Linked DNA regions of Drosophila melanogaster. The protein of the gene in region 2 interacts with the protein of the main gene of each other region in a pairwise test. Each region holds a gene or a part of one and is shown on either strand. Other genes may lie near its edges. The genes, in order: CG9467, bin3, Lim1 and Syx16.

What was found.
Region 1: the proteins of bin3 (region 2) and CG9467 interact in a two-hybrid assay, tested with the Drosophila melanogaster proteins (one large-scale study listed by BioGRID).
Region 3: the proteins of bin3 (region 2) and Lim1 interact in a two-hybrid assay, tested with the Drosophila melanogaster proteins (one large-scale study listed by BioGRID).
Region 4: the proteins of bin3 (region 2) and Syx16 interact in a two-hybrid assay, tested with the Drosophila melanogaster proteins (one large-scale study listed by BioGRID).

The regions. Positions count from the first base shown.
Region 1 is NT_033777.3:9,797,265-9,802,701, reverse strand, and holds CG9467 (uncharacterized protein), read left to right. Parts: upstream 1-1,675; 5' UTR 1,676-1,971; coding exon 1,972-2,033; intron 2,034-2,111; coding exon 2,112-4,242; coding exon of another isoform or gene 4,243-4,413; 3' UTR 4,414-4,933; downstream 4,934-5,437. Other genes in the region: CG8526 (uncharacterized protein), read right to left, coding at 1-788, 850-1,073, 1,126-1,222.
Region 2 is NT_033778.4:6,212,956-6,217,623, forward strand, and holds the start of bin3 (bicoid-interacting protein 3), read left to right. Parts: upstream 1-1,612; 5' UTR 1,613-1,796; intron 1,797-3,241; exon of another isoform or gene 3,242-3,648; intron 3,649-3,730; exon of another isoform or gene 3,731-3,782; intron 3,783-3,869; exon of another isoform or gene 3,870-3,939; intron 3,940-4,668. Other genes in the region: Ttc7 (tetratricopeptide repeat domain 7), read right to left, coding at 1-203, 261-372, 514-796, 857-986.
Region 3 is NC_004354.4:8,802,793-8,807,822, reverse strand, and holds the start of Lim1 (LIM homeobox 1), read left to right. Parts: upstream 1-2,018; 5' UTR 2,019-2,816; coding exon 2,817-2,859; intron 2,860-5,030.
Region 4 is NC_004354.4:20,391,778-20,395,416, reverse strand, and holds Syx16 (syntaxin 16), read left to right. Parts: upstream 1-1,665; 5' UTR 1,666-1,774; coding exon 1,775-1,855; intron 1,856-1,929; coding exon 1,930-2,063; intron 2,064-2,125; coding exon 2,126-2,969; 3' UTR 2,970-3,083; downstream 3,084-3,639. Other genes in the region: HERC2 (HECT and RLD domain containing protein 2), read right to left, coding at 1-537; l(1)G0004 (lethal (1) G0004), read right to left, coding at 3,159-3,639.

The DNA.
Region 1 (5,437 bases), on a different chromosome or scaffold from region 2:
TTGGTGGTCAGCTCTCCGCGCAAACTTAGTAGCATCACCTTCTTCTTGTTGGGAATGTCCCACTCCGGCTTGGACAGCACATAGGCCAGTTTGGTAAAGGCTGCCTCCTGAGTCATATCGTAGCCGGGTATTACGCCCACTTCCATCAGACCCTGGCTTGTCTCGTAAATGTTGGCCACCATGCCCGCCGAGCACTGCGTAATGTTGACAATAATAACGCCTCTGTGAACCGCCTCCCTCAGTTCGTCCAGCAAGTCCTCACGATTAACCGGAAAATTGCCGGCCCCAAAGGTCTGGAGGACAACACCTTTCGTTGGCTCTTTCAGGATTGCCTGCACCACACTGGCACTTATTCCCGGGTAAATACGCAGCAGCGCCACGTTCTTTTCGAGTTCCGAATGAAGTGAAAATGGTTTAATATTGCACGGTCGGAAGATTTGGCGGCTGTTGATCTCAATGTTGACACTCGCCCGACCCAATGGTGCAAAATTTGGTGAGTCCAGTGCGTGAAAAGAGTCAGAATTGAGCTTCGTGGAGCGACAGCCACGTAGAATCTTGTTGCCGAAGAAGACCAGCACTTCGGGTATACTGTAATTTCCTGCTATGAGAAGTGCGCCCAAGAAGTTCTCCCGCCCATCGCTGCGGGCTTCAAAGATCGGAATCTGTGCCCCAGTGAATACCACGGGCTTGTTCAGGCTCTCAAGCATGAACGCTAGTGCCGAGGCGGAGTAGGCTAGGGTATCCGTTCCATGGAGGATCACAAAGCCGTCGTAGGACTTGTATGTCTTCTGCGAAAAAAGTTAGTTGCATATTTTGTATTAACCTGATGATCCTCGACTCTCAACTTACTCCCACTTCGTTGGCAATGCGCTTCCAGTCGCAGAAGCCCATGCAGCTGGAGTCCATCAGTGGGCAGAACTCAATCAAATCGTAAAGGACTCTATACGGAGCTCCAGACACTGCGGGTAGCACCATCATGGGACCATCATTATCCTTGCTGGTGTAATTCCTGTCGTGGCAGCTGGGAAACTCTTGAAGCTGCCGAGCCAGCACCTTGGGCGCGGTGTGCAGTACTGATGAGAAACAATTGATTAGTACACGGACAAGAGCCATTGATATACCCACCTCCGGACTCGTTGCGGATCATTCCGATGGTTCCACCCACGTAGATGACATGGACGCGAGCCTCCTTCTTCAAACAACCGCACTTCGCCGCCGGCATTTTGGGCTTTTTCGAAATTTTGAGTGGTGTCCGAAACTAAACTAAAGCGTAGTTCCAAAGGCTCAGAGTGTGACAGCAAGATCCATGAGCTTTTTGTTTTGATGCTTAATACAAGTCATAACTTTACAATATTTTCAAATTTACCACCAAGCGAAATAAACCGTTGCTTGACGAAAAGGTGGTATGACCGTATTGCATGGGAATTTAACCGAGAGTTAGAGATGTACACTGCTTCACAAGAAATATCGTTGCTTATAATTGTGGAAATGCATATACTTTCTGATGCCCAAATTAATTTTATTTCTATATTAATTATTTTTTAATGATGAATTGTTGTTTGGAAACCATCAAAAACCTTGGTGAGTTAACACATACAAAATCAAAAGTGGAAAGTTCAGCAAAACAACTAAATGCAACAGGGACCCCCCGTAAACAGTGACTCGTCATGGCTGGGAACAGTCACGACCAATTTGCCCATCCCTAGTTTCTACAGTGCAGTGCAACAAATAATAAATAAATAAATAGCCTGGCACAAAGAGTTAATCGAATAAATTGCACCCCGCAGCGCACGTCAAGTGGGTTGGGTACCGAAATCGCGAGTTATCTGCTCCGCTGACGCCGCTGCCACTGCTCCGCCATATCAGTTGCTGATTGGAGCGCTGGGAGCACGGAAGCCACACAAATAGAGGCGCATTTAGAGCAATCCCCACCGTCCGCTGCTGCGGCAGCCCGCGGGTCATCGGATTGCCATGTCCCACTTCACGCATGCCTCCAGCAGCGACCTGGTCAACCTCAATGTGGGTGGTCAGCGGTAAGAACAAAGAACCAACACATTACGGCCCACTAACGGCATTGATGACGCATGCAAACTCCATCTCACTATCCATAGCTTTTCCACGTCGCGGCAAACGCTTACGTGGATCCCGGACACCTTCTTCACGGCTCTTCTCAGCGGACGCATCTCGAGTCTCAGAGACGAGCACAATGCCATCTTTATTGATCGCGATCCGACGCTCTTCTCGATCATACTTAACTACTTAAGGACCAAGGACATCGACATCAAGAACTGCGAAATACGCGCTCTGCGCCATGAGGCCGAGTACTATGGCATCACGCCGCTGACCAAGCGCCTGGCCCTCTGCGAAGACCTTAACCACTCGTCCTGCGGTGATTTGCTGTTCTACGGATTTCTGGCGGCGCCGCCCATGCCGTCAAACGAAGCTGTGGCTGCTACTAGCGTTGACGAGTCATTGCCCTCCACTTCGGCCAGTGCGATTGGCAGTCGTCCTGGGTCCATGGTGCGCGTTCCCGAACCCTCACGCTCCTCACACTCGCGCAATTCATCATGGGATCTGCGCCTTGGTCGCACAGGTAGCACTGGCAATGGTGCCAATCCCCCAGCTCCCATGTTGCACTCACGTAATCCCTCGATTGACTTTATGCGCCACTCTCGGAACTCCTCGGCCGATCTGAACAAAGTCTTTCGAAACGAAGTTGGCCTGGTATTCAGTCCCACGCAGAACTCAAACTGGGTGGACCCGTTGCGAGTGCAAATCATTAAGGCGCACCAAAATTGGATAGCAGTGGCTTACGCACACTTTGTGACTTGCTACCGGGTGAAAGACTCCAACGGATGGCAGCAGGTGTTCACATCGCCCCACATCGACGCCACTATCGAAAGAATCGCCATCAACTCAAAGGTGAATACTTCCGCAGCAGAGCCACTGCCCAGCAAGATGGTGGCCATTTCTTACGGCAGTCAGATAAGATTGTGGAGCATTCAGGAGGGCGGCCAGAAAACGGATGTGGGCACGTTTAATTTAAATGTGCGAGTGGAGTACCTGTTCTTTATCGGCAGTCAGCTGGTGGCCCTGTCATCTTCCGGCAAGATCGGCGTCTGGCATGCGATGACGCAGCACTGGCAGATTCAGGACCTAGTGCCCGTGCTCTCATTCGATTCCGCAGGCTCTTTTTTGCTGCTGGGCTGCAACAACGGCTCCATTTACTACATAGACATGCAGAAGTTCCCGCTCCGGATAAAGGACAATGATTTACTGGTTACCGAGCTCTACAAAGATGTCACACTAGACCCTATCACGGCCATCTCGGTCTACCTTACCCCAAAAACCTCGAGCATAAGTGGCAATTGGATTGAAATTGCCTATGGCACAAAGTCGGGAGCGGTTCGAATCATTGTCCAGCATCCGGAGACAGCTGGCCATGGACCACACCTGTTCGAGACCTTCTTTGTGCACCAAAGCCCCGTAACGAAGGTGATGCTGTCGGAGAAATACCTCGTCTCCGTGTGCAGCGAATACCACCACGTGCGAACATGGCGTCTGACCCGCTTCCGGGGCATGCTCTCCACCCAGCCGGGATCCACGCCGGAAGCATCGTTCAAAATCGTGTCGCTGGAAGCTACCGATACGAGCTACAGCTATGCGGCTGGAAATGATTTTGGACCTTACGGTGACTACGACGACATGATATTTGTGCAAAAGGTGGTGCCCGAGACGGATCAGCTGTACGTACGCTTGGCCTCCAACGGTGATCGGGTGTGCGTCATTAGATCCGTAGATAGCTCCACAATTTCGGCCTTCTGTGTGCTCGAGTGCGAGGTATCGTCCCGGTTCATACTCACCGGTCACTGCAACGGCGCTATTCAAATGTGGGACCTAACCACTGCACTGGCGCTGCTCTCCAAGGATGAGCCGCAGCAGAAAATCAATGGCGGACCCGACACCAATGAGCTTCTCCGCCTACTTGACCAGTGTGAAATCAGCAATTCATCATGCACAACACCTTGTATGTCACCGTGTCTATCAGCTATGGGCAACGGCTCTGGAATGGCCTCCTCCATAGCCCGCATGAAAGCCAGCAACATAGCCCTGCTAAATCGGGAACCAGCAATGGCAATGGCCGTCCAAGCCGTCCAGCCGCCCGCTCAGGTCCAACCTGCTCTTCCAGAGGCTGTGGCGCCGGCAGCTGCTATCCCGATGGCTGACGACAACAACGAATGAGACGTGGAAGCGGCTGCTTGATTGGCGCTTGTCGGGCGCGTTTCATCGTTTACATTTCACAGGTATAGCTTAATCTTCGACTACCAGTTTATATTCCTGCAGTTCGTGGTGTGCGCCCTCATCTACGTCTGGGTGACGCGACTCACCCGCGGTCCAGCCACTGGGCCGTGATGAACTGCCAGCAGGCATTTACCCAATCAATTAATCTCCATTATATGTGCTCGATGTGTTTGCAAATGCAATGTGTATCCCGTAAACCCATTTTTTGTGCTCCTCCAAACTTGGATCGTACAGTTAGTAATTTAAAAAAAAAACGTCTGTCTTTGTTCTAGTTAAAGTTATGAAAATTAGTTAAAACCATGTAAACCAGAGTATAAGACTTCTGCAACCGATCATCTATAATTAGCACAACTCTCCTAAAGGGTGCTCCATCAGGACAGATACGAAATCGTTCGGCTTGGATAAGATTGGTTGCCTTAAGCAAAGAAAGTTCATTAAACAGCCAATCAGTTGATTGTCAACCTTGAAGATGATTACTTGTGATTAAAATCGATAGAGCGACTGCTTCAAATTCGAATCTGTCCTGTTGCATGCAATGCCACACATGAATATAATGATACGCCTTGTTGCAACCAGTAAACAGCTATACATATTCAATATAAATAAAGATAATTATACACAAAGAGATATCAAAATAGCGAGCGAGTTGTGTCATCAATAATTTATTGAACATTTTATCTTAGTTTCTTGATGGTTGAAGTGTTCCATTAACATTTATCAAATACAAATACTTGGCTTGCATTCTCGTGGGTGTTGTGTGTGTAAATACGTGTATATACGATATCCTACGCCTATACCGGACCTCAGTAAAGTAAAAAAGCAGCAAAAACGCCAAAACATATAAAAATATATATAATATACATTTGTGTATTGTAGGTAAGTTACCCCAACCCAACCCCGACCGCCATTTAAATATCATTGGCCTAAACACAACCCACTAACGACCGCCGGTGTGCTTAATAAACAATTTAAACAAGTGGCTCGTCAAGTGGGACCCCTGCCTTTAATTTACCTAAAATAGGACGCACTGGTACTGAGATAGAATAATAATAATGGAGTAGATACTTGGAGCGATTACCCACCCTCGCCCGGAAGCAATTGTCGAGCCGTTCATACAAATAGTTTGTACACAAAT
Region 2 (4,668 bases):
TTCATTTCCAGTCCACTTGGACCACTCGCCGGTATTGTACTGCTGATTGCAAAACTGCTGCTCGACGGCTGCACAGTAGAGGCGTTTACATTCAACGTAGAACCAGCTGTCGAGTTGTTGGACGAGCCACTGCTTCCACTAACGAGATCGTATTCCTGCAGATAGAGCAGCCCCAGATCAGATGCGCGCTCAAAACAGCTAATCTGGAGTAAGAAATTATTAAATCAGTTACGTTTTAAAACTGAAATCGAGGACTTTACCATTTCCGTGTCCTTTTCGGCCTTCTTAAACTTAGATGACGGCTTCGTAGTCTGCTGCTCCAGACACAATCCCTTGATGGCATACGATTCCGCAAGGATCTTCAGGCTGCGACTTTTATATATATGTAAGCAGAAGTGATAAGTTTTGCAAATTTGCTATTAATTAAGAGTTGATGTGTACATTCATCTTAATTTGCAAGTCCCCACGTAGTAGATGAGAACATTTTGATTAGAAAACCTTTTCCCAACTTACAGGGTCAGCTCCTTCTCGGCAAGCGTGTTGAGTTCTGCCTTGACGAAATTGTCTAGACTCTGCTCATACTCGCCGCAGGCAAAGCACAGCTTGGCCAGCAGCAAATAGGCGTCCAGGGCGATGCCCGCCTTCTGGCCACTCTCACCCAAAGCCAAGTGAAGGAAACGCCGGGCCTCCGCCAATCCAGACTTGGCGCGACCAAAATTTGAGTCTGACGCGAGAGCGTTTTCCTCCAGGTAACTCTCCAGACGAGCTTCCCCCACCAGAAAGTTGGCCAGGCACTCTGTTCCACGAAAGAAGGCAGTCATTCCAGGAGTACCGTCATCAGCGGAAATCTTCTTACCATTGTGCGGGGACCCGGTCTTCAGTTCATCCGTTAGCTCGATGACCCGGTGCCACTTGCCCTCGCTGCGACAGCTCTCAATCAGGGCCTCCACTTTGGTTGTGGTGTTACGCATGTTCTTGTTGGCCATATGTCCACTTCACGGATAATGTTGTCACTCTTTGCTTGCTGTGTGTGCCAGTGCGTGCCTGTGCTCGCTATAAAGCGGGTTCCTAAGAGCCTAAAGCGGATTCCTTCAAGACTAATCAAATTGTTTTGCAAACATTGGAGTTATCTGTTTTCTTCGCTCTTCTTCTTTCTCACATATGGCAGCATCTGTTATCGACAGCAACTATTATCGGTAGTCCCGCTAACAGCGTGCTGTAAAGCGATTTGTGTACCAGTGCTGTTAAGACATCTGTGGTCCGTCCCCTGTTAGCTGCTAACATGCTAACTCTCGGTCAGCTGTTCCATCTTTTTTTTTCCACAAGCGTGTGCAATCCATCAGAAGCTGTTCATATTGTTAATTGAATCGATAAGACCCAGTGTGGTAGCTCTTTCTTAAAAATATGAAACCTCTGCTCGCCAAATAGAACATTATCACATTATCCCTCATATTAGCAAGATGTCTTCATTTTATGTTGTTTTCTTACAACAGTTATGCATATGCATATGTACATACTATTATAAACTTCATTGTTTTTCGATTACTAATTTTTTCATTTTTAAAATTGGCAACACTGGTGGGCTCTGTTAACCGAGAATATATATAAAAATATGTTAGTTGTAAGTGTTTTCTTGCAGGAGACTGACGCACTTATTAGAGCTCCGCGAACGGAATCATATTTTACGGTTTTTTTTTTTTTTTATCAAGAGTGTGGCGAATTTAACGGCAACAACGAAACGAAAAGTGAAAACAAAGTTCAAGTCGCCACTGAGCAATCGTGGGGCTTTCTGGGCGGTAAGTGTTTTGTCCTTAAGATTCATTTTTGTTTTGTCTAAAGGCGCAGCACGTGTGGATTTGTGTGCACACTCAGCTGTTCCTAGGGTTTCTGTTTTTCGCGAGCACACACAAGTTAGCAATCAGTTGGAAAGCTATGAAGAAATGGAAGTAGTCCAGGCAGAGTATTTGGACAAGAGTAGTTTCTTAATTGTGTGTGTGTGCATAAACAAACGTTAAGTGCATTTCAACCTTCTAATAGGATATGGACCAGAAGAGTGGTCCCCGTATACCCTCTCTTATCGAGTTGACTTCCACTTTTGCTTTCAATTTTAGGAGCCATTTAAGCAATCAAATTTGTTTTTCCTGAGTGACCCCTCATGCCAACCGTTCTCGCAGTCATCGATAACTTTTATCGCGTGCCCCTCAGAAGTCAAAGTTAATTGCCAGTCTTTTATTTTTTTGCCCGGCCTTTTTGAGTTTTTGTTGCTTTTCGAATGTGCAATATTTCCATTTGCATTTCCATATACAAAATCTTAGGTAAAACATATATACAAATCAACACAAAACATCCATGTCAGATTCCAGGCTTTTGGCTCCTCTCATTCTTCAAATTTCTTGCCAATCTTTTAGGCTTCGGAGAGCATATTATTCACCCCAACCGAAGGAATTCGTCAAAAGCGGTGGTGGGGGTGGGCAGTTGGTTCCAGGGATAATAATGGTGGGGCGAACGGGTCGGATATGTGGGTTAGCAGTTCGATGCACAGTGGCTCTTTTACCCGAACTGCCAAAAAACAAATCAAACTGTCTTATGGAGCTGCTATAAGTATTAAATTAAAAATAGATTTTAATAGAAAAAGTAAAAATAGGAGTCCACTTCGAACGCTCCCCTGGTGCGCTTTGTCACAAAGTTAACACTTTCCTACAAAACACTATAAAGTGTAATTACGAACTAAATATTTTTTTCATTTTTTCTATCAAGACACTCATTTATTTGAGTATCATGGAAACCGTAGTCAAATTTAAACAAGCCAGAAGATGTTTAAATATATATACATAAATGTTTATATAGATTTGTTGAAAAGTAACAGATACAAGGAAGATTCGGCCACGAAGCTATTTTTTCCCAAATAAAATTCAAAATTAAAATTATTTTCTCATTTTCATGTCACTCCGAATATTAGCTAAAAGTGACATTAAAGGTATTACACGCATGTGGATTATGGTTACAGTGTCTTGTTCTATGAGTTTCCCGTTTATGGAAAGGAAAGTAAGCGCAAAACTGAAAAGTTGAAAAAAGGCGGCTTAACAATTTTAAAGTAGTGGGTGAATGGTTCCCGTTTGCATTCTTAACTTGATACACTTATAAAAACTTTCACTACAGTTTATAGAAAATGTATAAAATTTTAAAAGGAACTACCTTTTTAAAAGTAATTTTTTTCTTATCCTCTGAAAGAAATCAGGTTGCTACTTCCAAAATAGTTAATTACTATTATCTATAGCCATTATGAAGGAACTTATCTAGTAACAAGTTTATTGGTTTTAAGTATTTTGAATTTTCCTTATTTAGGCTATATCATTTTCTCTCAGTTTTTAGGGAGCTATATAAAATGTGCGTAGGACAAGTTAGAATATAAGATGGGTGAAATAGCCAAAAGACCGTTTGTTTCATTGTTCCTGCTGCATTGCCGCTGCAGTTTTTGTCCCGGCTGTTGTTGGTTTAGGTCCCGCAATCCTTTGTTTGCTTCTGCACATTCTTAATCCGCGCCAATGCATCTGTCAACGAGCCGGCGAACTCTCATTAGTGAAGCTTCGTTTTGTAGGCGTTCGTTAATGAACTACCCACATCGCGATGACCTTGATGTGAAAAAATCTGTAATTATGAAGAAAAGTAAGAAAGAAAATAACCAGAAAAAGGTAAAAATCCAGTATTTTTAAAATATTTGGATGGGTACCTTGATGACATCTTAGGAGTCCCAGGACATCTCTAAACTTTGTAAGGCCCATCTGATATATGTAAATATGTTATATTATCTTCTTAGTAGGCTCCCCAAACTGTGCAATATATTATTTGACAACAAAAATAATTGTTACCTTTCTATGTGCATGATGTATTTATTGTAATCTAATTTTTGTGCTCATTTTGGTTGGCTTACATTGTAAAATATTTACATTTTACCAAACGAAATGCTATTTCTGGACACTTTCTAAAAAAAAACGAACCCTTTTCGAAAAATCGCTCCAACACTCTGAGTAGAGGGTAACTGATTGCTTTGAACCTTGTTTGTATCTACATATCTCTATTTGTTTTGCTCTCTGAGCGCTCGTTGACTGGTCAACGAACCTGTTGCTGTTGTTAACAATAAAAAGCAACAAATTAAAAATATTATAGTCGCAACACCAACACTAGATGTTGGCAGTCTATGCAGGTATTAGGGAAATTCAACAGAAAACTTAAACATGGCGATTTGGAAATAAGTAAAAATTAAGAAATTTTGATTAAATAAAAGTGTTTATTAAATGGCATAAGAAATATATTATCTTTACTTTAAGTATGAGGTACCTTATTCTGGTCGCGTAACATTAGTATTACATACATTCCAGTTTGTACCGTCGGAAATTTAAGTCCCTTGCAGTTAATACCATGTAAAATTTATTAATGTGTTGCGGATCTGATTAAGTTACTCACTTATATACCGCAAATTGACTGCGTTTTGCAGTATTGTAATTTAGTAAAACACCTTAAGCATTTTATTTCGTAAAGTGTGAAAAGAAAGTTAAAAATCTTGACGCGAAATTAAAAGAAACAAAAGAGAACGCTGTAGTCGAGCCCATATACCATCAGATACCTGTTACTCAGCTAGTGGAAGTGCAAACGATAAATAATAATTAT
Region 3 (5,030 bases), on a different chromosome or scaffold from region 2:
TTATTCCTCGAGAGTAGTTATGTAAGTGTTTTTGCTTCAATATCCTTTTTATTCCATTCCTATTATGTCCTCATCCCTTTTGCTCTTACTAAATTTGGGGCAAAGCAGTTTTCAAGGCCGTCAAAGATCAACTGATTTCGATAACTTTTCGATAGCGCAGAACAAGTGAAAAGTGACACGCACACGCAAAAACAAAAAGCAAGCACTTCACAGCTTAACACCCTAATGTGCAATATTTTTGACTACCCCACATCCACGCACACAGCAAACGGCGCTCTTTAACCCACCACAGCCCCCTTATTTTGTGTCGAACATCTTCTTCTTCCTATCGAAGTGTGAGTGAGAGGGAAGACCGTAAGGAGTGAATGAGAGCGGGAGCCTCCTCCCCGACCTTTATAATGCGTTCTCTTTTACTCTCACTTATTTTATGCATTTTTTTTATTTTATCCAGTTTTGTCTTTTCTTGTTGTTTGTTTAGATCTTTGGCATTTTTGCAATTTGAATCCTATATTATTTCTTATGGTTTTTATTGGTTTTTGTATTGGTTTATTTTTACGATAAGTGTCTTGCTATAGATTTATCTAAATCGAAAGCTTATTAAAATTGCATTTGTTAAAGAAAAAGAAAAAGATATAATATTTTGCACAATTTTAAATGTTTTTTTCTACTAATTTTTTGTTACTTGCAATTTATCTAACACTTTTTCTTTGCTTTTTTTTCTTCGCCTCCGTTTTTTTTTCTTGCTGTCTCCAGTGCGTTAAAACGCCAAAGGGGCGTCCCTCTCCAGCTAACGCCCCCACCACCCCCCGCCACTAGTGCTCTCCCTTTCGCACTGCTAACGACAAGTGACAAACACAAGTTGCAGAAGAGGCAGCCGAACAAAAACAACAACTAAAAATAAAAAAGAAGGAAAGAAAAAAGTTTTTGCGACCAACAGTTGACAGTCGAAAAGCATTTGACATTTTACCTTGGCACGCACACAAGCACCGCCAAGTGCGAAAGGGACAAAACGCGGGCAAATGTCACTTTGAAAAATGCCATTGGCCCGGCCAGCGAGTGTGAGCGAGAGGGCGCGACGGCCGGAGAGCGTGAGAGCGAGAGAGCGCCATTTTGCGCATCTCTCAATGAAGCAACAATAAAAAAACCAGTTGCTTAGCAACGCCCCCTCTAACCGCAAAAAAGAGAGCTGGAGAGCAGGAGAGCCAGTGTTGCAACAACAATGGGCAAAATGGAAGGGCAACAACAGCAACAAAAACCAAAAATATCCTTACAGGAACAACGCCAGCACCAATCTTGAGAAAAGGATCAAAAGCCCAAGATCAACAGAAGAATGTGTGTAGAATTTAAAAAAAAAGTGAATTTTTGGATTTTTAAAATCTTATGAATCTAACAAGCATCTAGTAAGGCTAACTAAATATTTAGTTATCATGCTAAATATATCAAAATTTTCAAAGAACTTATATTGTGTATTATCGAACAATCACCTAAATTAAATCCTAAAAAAGGAAAAAAAATTAAGATTTCTTGATATTTTTTTCCAATTGTTATGAAATTGTATATCCTTTTCCAAAATATTTTTAATAATAATCTAGATATGCATACCAAATATTCTAGTCATATTTTTTCCATTTTTTTAGAAAACGTTTTGAAAAACAATTTTTTTATTTAAGAATAATATGATTTCTTCATGCCCAACACGAGAGAGCCAGGAGAAGCGACGGAAGCGAGAGCGAGAGAGCCTGCGACTCCATTGCAGCGCCGCCAGCAGCGCAGTCGGCGTCGCAGCAGCCCCAGCTCAACATTCGCTGCATCTCGCTCTGGCGCAGGCGAAATATGCGAGCACTGCTTGCCGCATTCGGTAGCACGAGTGCGAGCGATGCGCCTGCTAGCATCTCGCTCGCACCCAGGCGCGCCATTCGTCGCCGCTTCGGCTCGCCGTTCGTGTGTGTGCGTGTGCGCTCGGCTGGCAGCTATCGGTAATCGGGCCGTCCGCTTTGCCGTCGCGTTTGCCGTTTTCCGTTTTCAGTTTTTGTTTGACGTTCGCGTGAAGCGCCCGCAAAACGCAAAGCGCACGAGGCAACGCTCGAAAAAGGAGCCAACGCAGCCGTTTACCGTTAGTCAGCTGTTTACCGTTCCGCCGCGAGATCGAAAACCGAGAATTTTTGCCGTTGTTCAAATTTTTTTGCAAGTGAGAATCTTGAACAACAAGAAGAATATACAACACATAAATACAACAAAACCAAGGAATCGCCGAAAAGCCGATAGTGCAAAGTGTTTAAAAAGAAAAGAATCAATTTCATATACAACAACTAAAGAAATACTGGAATATAAGGCATAATAGAAGCGGAGGAAGTTTCTTCAACTCAAAGAGGAGCGGAATTTCGCGCTTTGTTTTTGTTTTGCCAAATTTGCCGCCGGCACACACGTGCTATCCCCCTCTTGCTCGCACCTTGCCACCCAGTCTTTATGTGCGTTAACCGTTAAGTGTGCAGTTGGGGCCCGCTCCTATCTTTCTCTCCCTCTCTCTCTCGCTTCCGCACCCGCACACACACACATATATCCACACCCACGCGCGCCTCGTTCACATACGCACACACACGCGGGACTTAACCCATTGACGGCCCCCCCAAAAAAGCAGTCACTCTTAACCCCCCCGAAAAAAAGAAAAACTCCATCCCCCCGGCATCAAGATATTCGACAACAAAATTCTCACCGAGGCCTCAAAAGCGCCCCTGAGGGCCGTCGCACTGGCGTCATATCTGGGCGACGGGTTCGCCGCCCTCGGTAGCCGCGCCCCCCCGCCCAAGGACCATCTGATGGCGTTCGGGGCGGTACTACACACCAGCCAGCACAATATCGGTAAGTGATCGTTTTGGGGAATTTAGGCATTAAGCGGTTAAGGGTCCAGGAAAACATAGAAAATCTGGGGGGTTTGCAGTGAGAATCCCAAACAGGCAAGTTCTTAAGGTTAGTCACATATAGGATACTGCAATCGAAATCATTTCATCCAAGAATCAGCACTAAATCTTTGAGTTGTGCTTGTAGTTCTATAGAATAATATCATTGGGAAGTCAAGGATGAAACATTTTACAGATCGAAAATAGAAGTTGTTTACATCTAATCTAGATTAAGTAATATTCATGATGTCCTCTATCGAAATAGAATGAAAACACCTGTTTGTAGGCTTCGTATAATATTTAAATTGTTTATAAAATCTGTAGACGAGTGATCAATGACACCAATGACACATTTCAAAAATACTTTTAAAAGATGGCAAAGAAGTGAATTTTCGAAAAATGTACTGACAAAAAAGTGGAATCTATTAAAAATGGCTTGATCGCTATGCCGACGGGATGTGGTCTTAGATTTTCAACTGGTGGTAGAAAGACATAAGAAAAGTAGGGTCGAGTGCGGTCGAAAGTCCTTAAAAGGAAGTCAACCCCTTGAAGGATCGGCGAAATGCGATCCCTAGGATGGTGGGTTAATACAATACCGCTTGCCCGCAATGGGTTAAGATGGCCAAGGAGTTTTTAATGGCGACGGCTGGGCAGCAGCAAAGTTTTTGCACTTTTGAACTTGCTTCCCGTTTTTAGGGGACCGCCGGCGAGGAGGAGAGGGGCGTCTAATGCCCCGTCGTCCATCTGCCGTCTCTTTTTCGCATTACCATTTTGTATGCTTTTGAAGTTCTTGTTCATCTGTTTTTGTTTCGGTTTTGTTTTTCCTCCTCTTGTTTTCCCGTTCGTTTTTGGACTGAAAAACTTTTGCGCAGTTGTCAAAGTTTTTCAGCTTCTTCTTCTGCCGTTCTTCCTCTACCCCATCTCATTTTTTTTGGCTTTTGTTTTATTTCATTTGCTCTCTGTCAAATTTTCACTTTTGCTGACTGTTTAATGTCAGGAACAAAAAAAAAAAAAAAAAAAAAAAATAGTAAAAAGGGAGCAAAAAGTTCAGAAATGAAGGCTCCCCTCTAGTTTTGTATTTTGTGATTAGTTGGTGAGGAATATTTCGTTTATATGTATGTATGTAGCTCCCCATCAATTTGAATAACTATAAAAAACATTTATAAACTACAAAATTAAGGATCTGCAGAGATTTAGAGACCGAACACTCTTTTCGAGTATATTTTGGATTCTTATCAAAAGAAATGAAATGAGAAATGATTTAAGTACATATTAGTAAAAATGTAGTAAGGTATTTTATACCACAAAAAATTTTTCAAAAATATTCTAAAATCCTCAATAGCTTCGTTTTCGAACCAGTGAGGTTCGATGGAAATTGCAACTGCAAATTCTCCATTTAACTTGTTGACATTGGACATACAGCGGCCGACACCTTACTTCCCCCATAAATTGGCTAGAGAACTGTTGGGGTTTTTGGGCTTGGGGCCTGCAGCTCCGGGGGCGGTTCAAGTCAAAAGCTGTCGACATTTGACTGGAAAATGGATGTTCAGGAAGCCGTAGACCCGCACAGTGGGCCACCTTACGACGGCGGACTGATGCCAAGTGGAGTCGTAAAGCTGCCAAGCTTTCTTCTTCCTGCTTCTACTGTTTCTCGGTTGGATTTTTTTGTTTTTGTTTTATTTCTCGCTCATAGACATACCCATTAGCTAATGACTAAGTGTTGGCAGTTATGAACTTAACTTGCATTTAGTTGGGGAAAACTACAAAGTAAAGTACCACTGAATATAACTCGGCTTAATGAAGATAACTTTTCCGCGCAGTAGCTGTATCTTTTTTCGAAAGTTCGTAAAGTAATTTGGAATCAGGAAAGATATCCAATTTTTTATGGTATAGTTAAGGTTTTGAAATGAGATGGAAAAAATGTATTGGAAATACTTAAGATAGGATACCAATTTAGGTCGTTGAATCTTTGGTAATGTGTTTATTCTTAAGGAATTTAGTTTTCAAAACTTCAATAGAATAGGGTAACCCCTCGTCGTTCAATTACCAATATCATCGGCCATTTCTCTGGTCGACTGCTCATTTTTCTTCGCATATATCTTGGTGGCAGCATCTTTTCAATTTTTATGTTGC
Region 4 (3,639 bases), on a different chromosome or scaffold from region 2:
AGCTTGGGTGGTAAGCTTTTTGATGGCCGTGTCCGAGTCCAGAGGCCGACAGCCGTCGCAATTGCAGGCGGAGAGAGGACCGCAGTACTCCGGCTGGCAGCAGGAGCACTTGAGCTGCTGAGCGCCGCAGTAGTGCTTGCCATCGTCGCCCAGGTAGGATAGTTGTCCGCGGGCATTTAGGAGCGGCGCGGTAGGCGACGAGACCAGCTCGCAGTCCTGGATCAGATGGTTCCACAGTACGGCGCCGTCGGCGGCGTTGCGCAGGGAGGCGATGAGATCGGCGCGCAGCCACTTGGCGTCCAGAAAGGGCAGCGGGCGCAGGTAGAGATCGGGCGAATGGCTGGGCGGTGCTGCTGATCCGGAACCTGATCCCGATCCAGATCCTGCTGCGGAGCCTGCTCCTGCCGCTGCTCCACTGGCACCTCCACCCCCTCCTACTCCAACTCCAGCGGAGACTGGTGCTGCAGAAGCGGTCTGGCTGGACCCAGCACCCTGGCCACTGGATCCGGCTCCTCCGCTCGCCTGGCGGTTGAACATGTTTGTGTTTTCGTGTTGCCTTCCCTAGTGCTCCACCGCCGAAGTCAGGCTAGAAACGAGCTCGACCACAACCACAACAACGACAATGGCATGGCACAGTTACCCCTTCAAGGGGGGTGTGGTGGTGGGTTGGAGCGCGGGTGGGGGCGGGGGCGAAGGCGGGTCAATGTCGTCACTGGCACACACACTAAGCACACGCACACGCGCGCAAGCACACACACAACTGCAATCGGGCGTCCAGGATCAGGATAATTCGTTGTTATCCTTGTCCGCACTGCTCATTTCGTTGTTCCGCTCGGAGTTAGTTATGACATCCTGACTTTTCCACCCGCACTTGAACTCTCCGTTTTCCGCGCTTGCTGCTTTCGGGTCACAATTGGAAGTGCCAGTTACCAGTACAATGCAATTTGAAATCAAGGAATTATTTTAAAATGAAATAAAATTGTTTGATGGCAATCGATATCAGGGGGAGGTGCAAACTGACTGAGCTATCAAGTAATCGATATCAGGGGGTCGAGCCATCGATATGTTTTGCCTTTCGATAGCTCTTCAGTGTTCTTAAGTCACAGGCTTGTGTCACGGATTAAAACCCAGTACAGTGGAAGCTGGCTATTAGAAAACGTTAAGCCAAACTCATAATGAGTTCCCTAAAATTCTGTAAATTTGTAATTTTTAAACATTAGCCTAAAATGTACTTGATTCTAAAATCATTTACAATATCATTCGGTTATATTACTCTTTCGTAACGCAAAAAAAGAGAACGCACATAACAAATTATTGAATACTTTTATTGTACTATTACGGTCGTTTTATTGCTAAAAGTATTGCATTTCAATTTACGTGACGGTGTGTACAGAATTAACTTTATAAATTGTTGAAACTCAACAAAGCAATACTATATTCTGTAATTTCCGAATATTTCTATTGGAGCTATCCAATCCGTATATTGAAAAAATCACTTTCGCAAATAGGATGTTTAGGAGTATACATATAAAGTACAGATTCTACAGATAATAAGAAAATAATATTTAAAATAAGTATAATTCTCGGACATGTAACGGTGCGTTCAGGCCAGGGTGACCAGTTCGTCGTGGCGACTATCGGTATTCTGGGCGAGCAAGTCAGCGGGCACACTGCGCTGCTGTGTCAAAACGAAACTGGAAAAAATCTGATTGAGTTTTCAGCGGACTTGGATCAATCCTTCCAATCCCCAAGAAATCGGGAGCAGACGGCCAGGATGACGTCGCGCAACCTGACGGAGGTGTTCGTCATCATGCGCAACAATGCGTCCAAGAACCGGAATCACTACGACGATCGGGTGAGTGCGTCTCCGTCTGGGGTCTTCACTGTTATCATCAACTAACATATGTTTTGCGTTTCTCCGTCTTCCAGAGGGGCAGCGATGCGGAGCGCCTTCTAAAGCACTCGGTGCGCGAGGCGGAGGAGGGACTGGAGCTGCAGGACGACTACGGCACGCCGCCCGCCTGGCTGGACAAGTTCGAGGAGGCGCAGTACACCATGTCTAAGTGGGTAAACAAACAGTAGTCCATGCGCAGGGTTCAACTTCACTCCCATCACTCGTTTGCAGGATCAAGCCTAAGCTGGATGAACTGGGCTCCCTGCACGCACGCCACCTCCTGCGACCCGCCTTCGATGATCAGCGGGACGACGAGTGCGACATCGAGGTGCTCAGCCAAATCGTCTCCAAGCTGATCACCTCCACGCACCGGCACATCCAGTGCGTGCGCAGCAGCATCGGCGTGGGCAGCAAGATGGAGCAGTGCCTGACGGTCAACGCGGTACACTGCGCCCTGCTCCAGCTGCAGGAGCTGACGGTGAAGTTCCGTGCCAGCCAGAATGCCTACCTGCTTCAGCTGAACTCCCGCGAGGAGCGCTCGCAGAAGTACTTCGACGACGGCGGCGGCGCTGGCGCTGGAGACGTCTTCACAAACGTGGAGCTGGGCGAGCAGAGCGCCGAGAACTTCGTCGACTCCTTCGACAACTTTCTGCAGCCGCCGGCGGAGGGCAAGTCCGGCAACGGCTATCTGTTCGAGGACGACGAGCAGGCCATCGACGATCACTTCCAAAGGCCGCCGGCCAGCCGGATGACCCAACAGCAGCTGCTGCTCTTCGAGGAGGAGAACACGCGGGTGGCGCAGCACCGCGAGCAGGAGGTGACCAAGATAGTCAAGTCCATCTACGACCTGAACGACATCTTCAAGGACCTGGGCCACATGGTCCAGGAGCAGGGCACTGTGCTCGACCGCATCGACTACAACGTGGAGCAGACGCAGACGCGCGTCTCGGAGGGATTGCGCCAGCTGCACAAGGCGGAAATGTATCAGCGCAAGAACCGCAAGATGTGCGTCATTCTCGTCCTGGCGGCGGTCACATTCTTCATGCTGCTGCTGCTCATCCTGACCAAGCTCTAGTTGCCCACGCGCCTCCAGTGGGCCGACCTCATTCCCGTCATTCGCTGTGTGTGTTTGTGTATATTGTAAATGTTTGAATACATGTTATTATATTTATTATTTATTGCTAATGCTAAAAAAAAAACCGCAACTACTCCCTCTCAAGTCGAACTCCACTCCAGTCCAGTCCACTCCAGTCCGCTCTCCCAATCACATGCGCTCCGAGAGGCGCGAGGCGACTGCCCGCAGGTTGCCATACACCTTGCTGGGCGGCGAGCCGAGGATTAGGTTGCAGACGGCCCGGCGCGCAAGCTGAATGTTCTGGTAGCTGCCCAGGATGTGGATCTTGCTATCGGCTAGCACGATGCGGGTCTTGGTCACGTTCTCGATGGTGAATTTGGTGCGGCCGCCCTTGCCGGCGAGGCGGCCGATGGCGCGAGACTGGTGGTCGCCGCGCAGCGTCTTCACGTCCTTGATTTCGAACGACTCGACGAACAGGTCCTCCAGACGCAGCAGGGCCAGGGCGTCGTCCACCTCGAAGCCGCAGAGAAAGGCGCGCACGAAGTCGGCGCCGCGCTGCAGGTTGGCTATGTCCGGCGTCTCGGGGCCCACACGCAGCTCCACCTGGCGCGCCTTCATGTTGAAGCGGATCTGCAGCTTCATGTGCTCCACCACGGGCGTAAAGATCTTC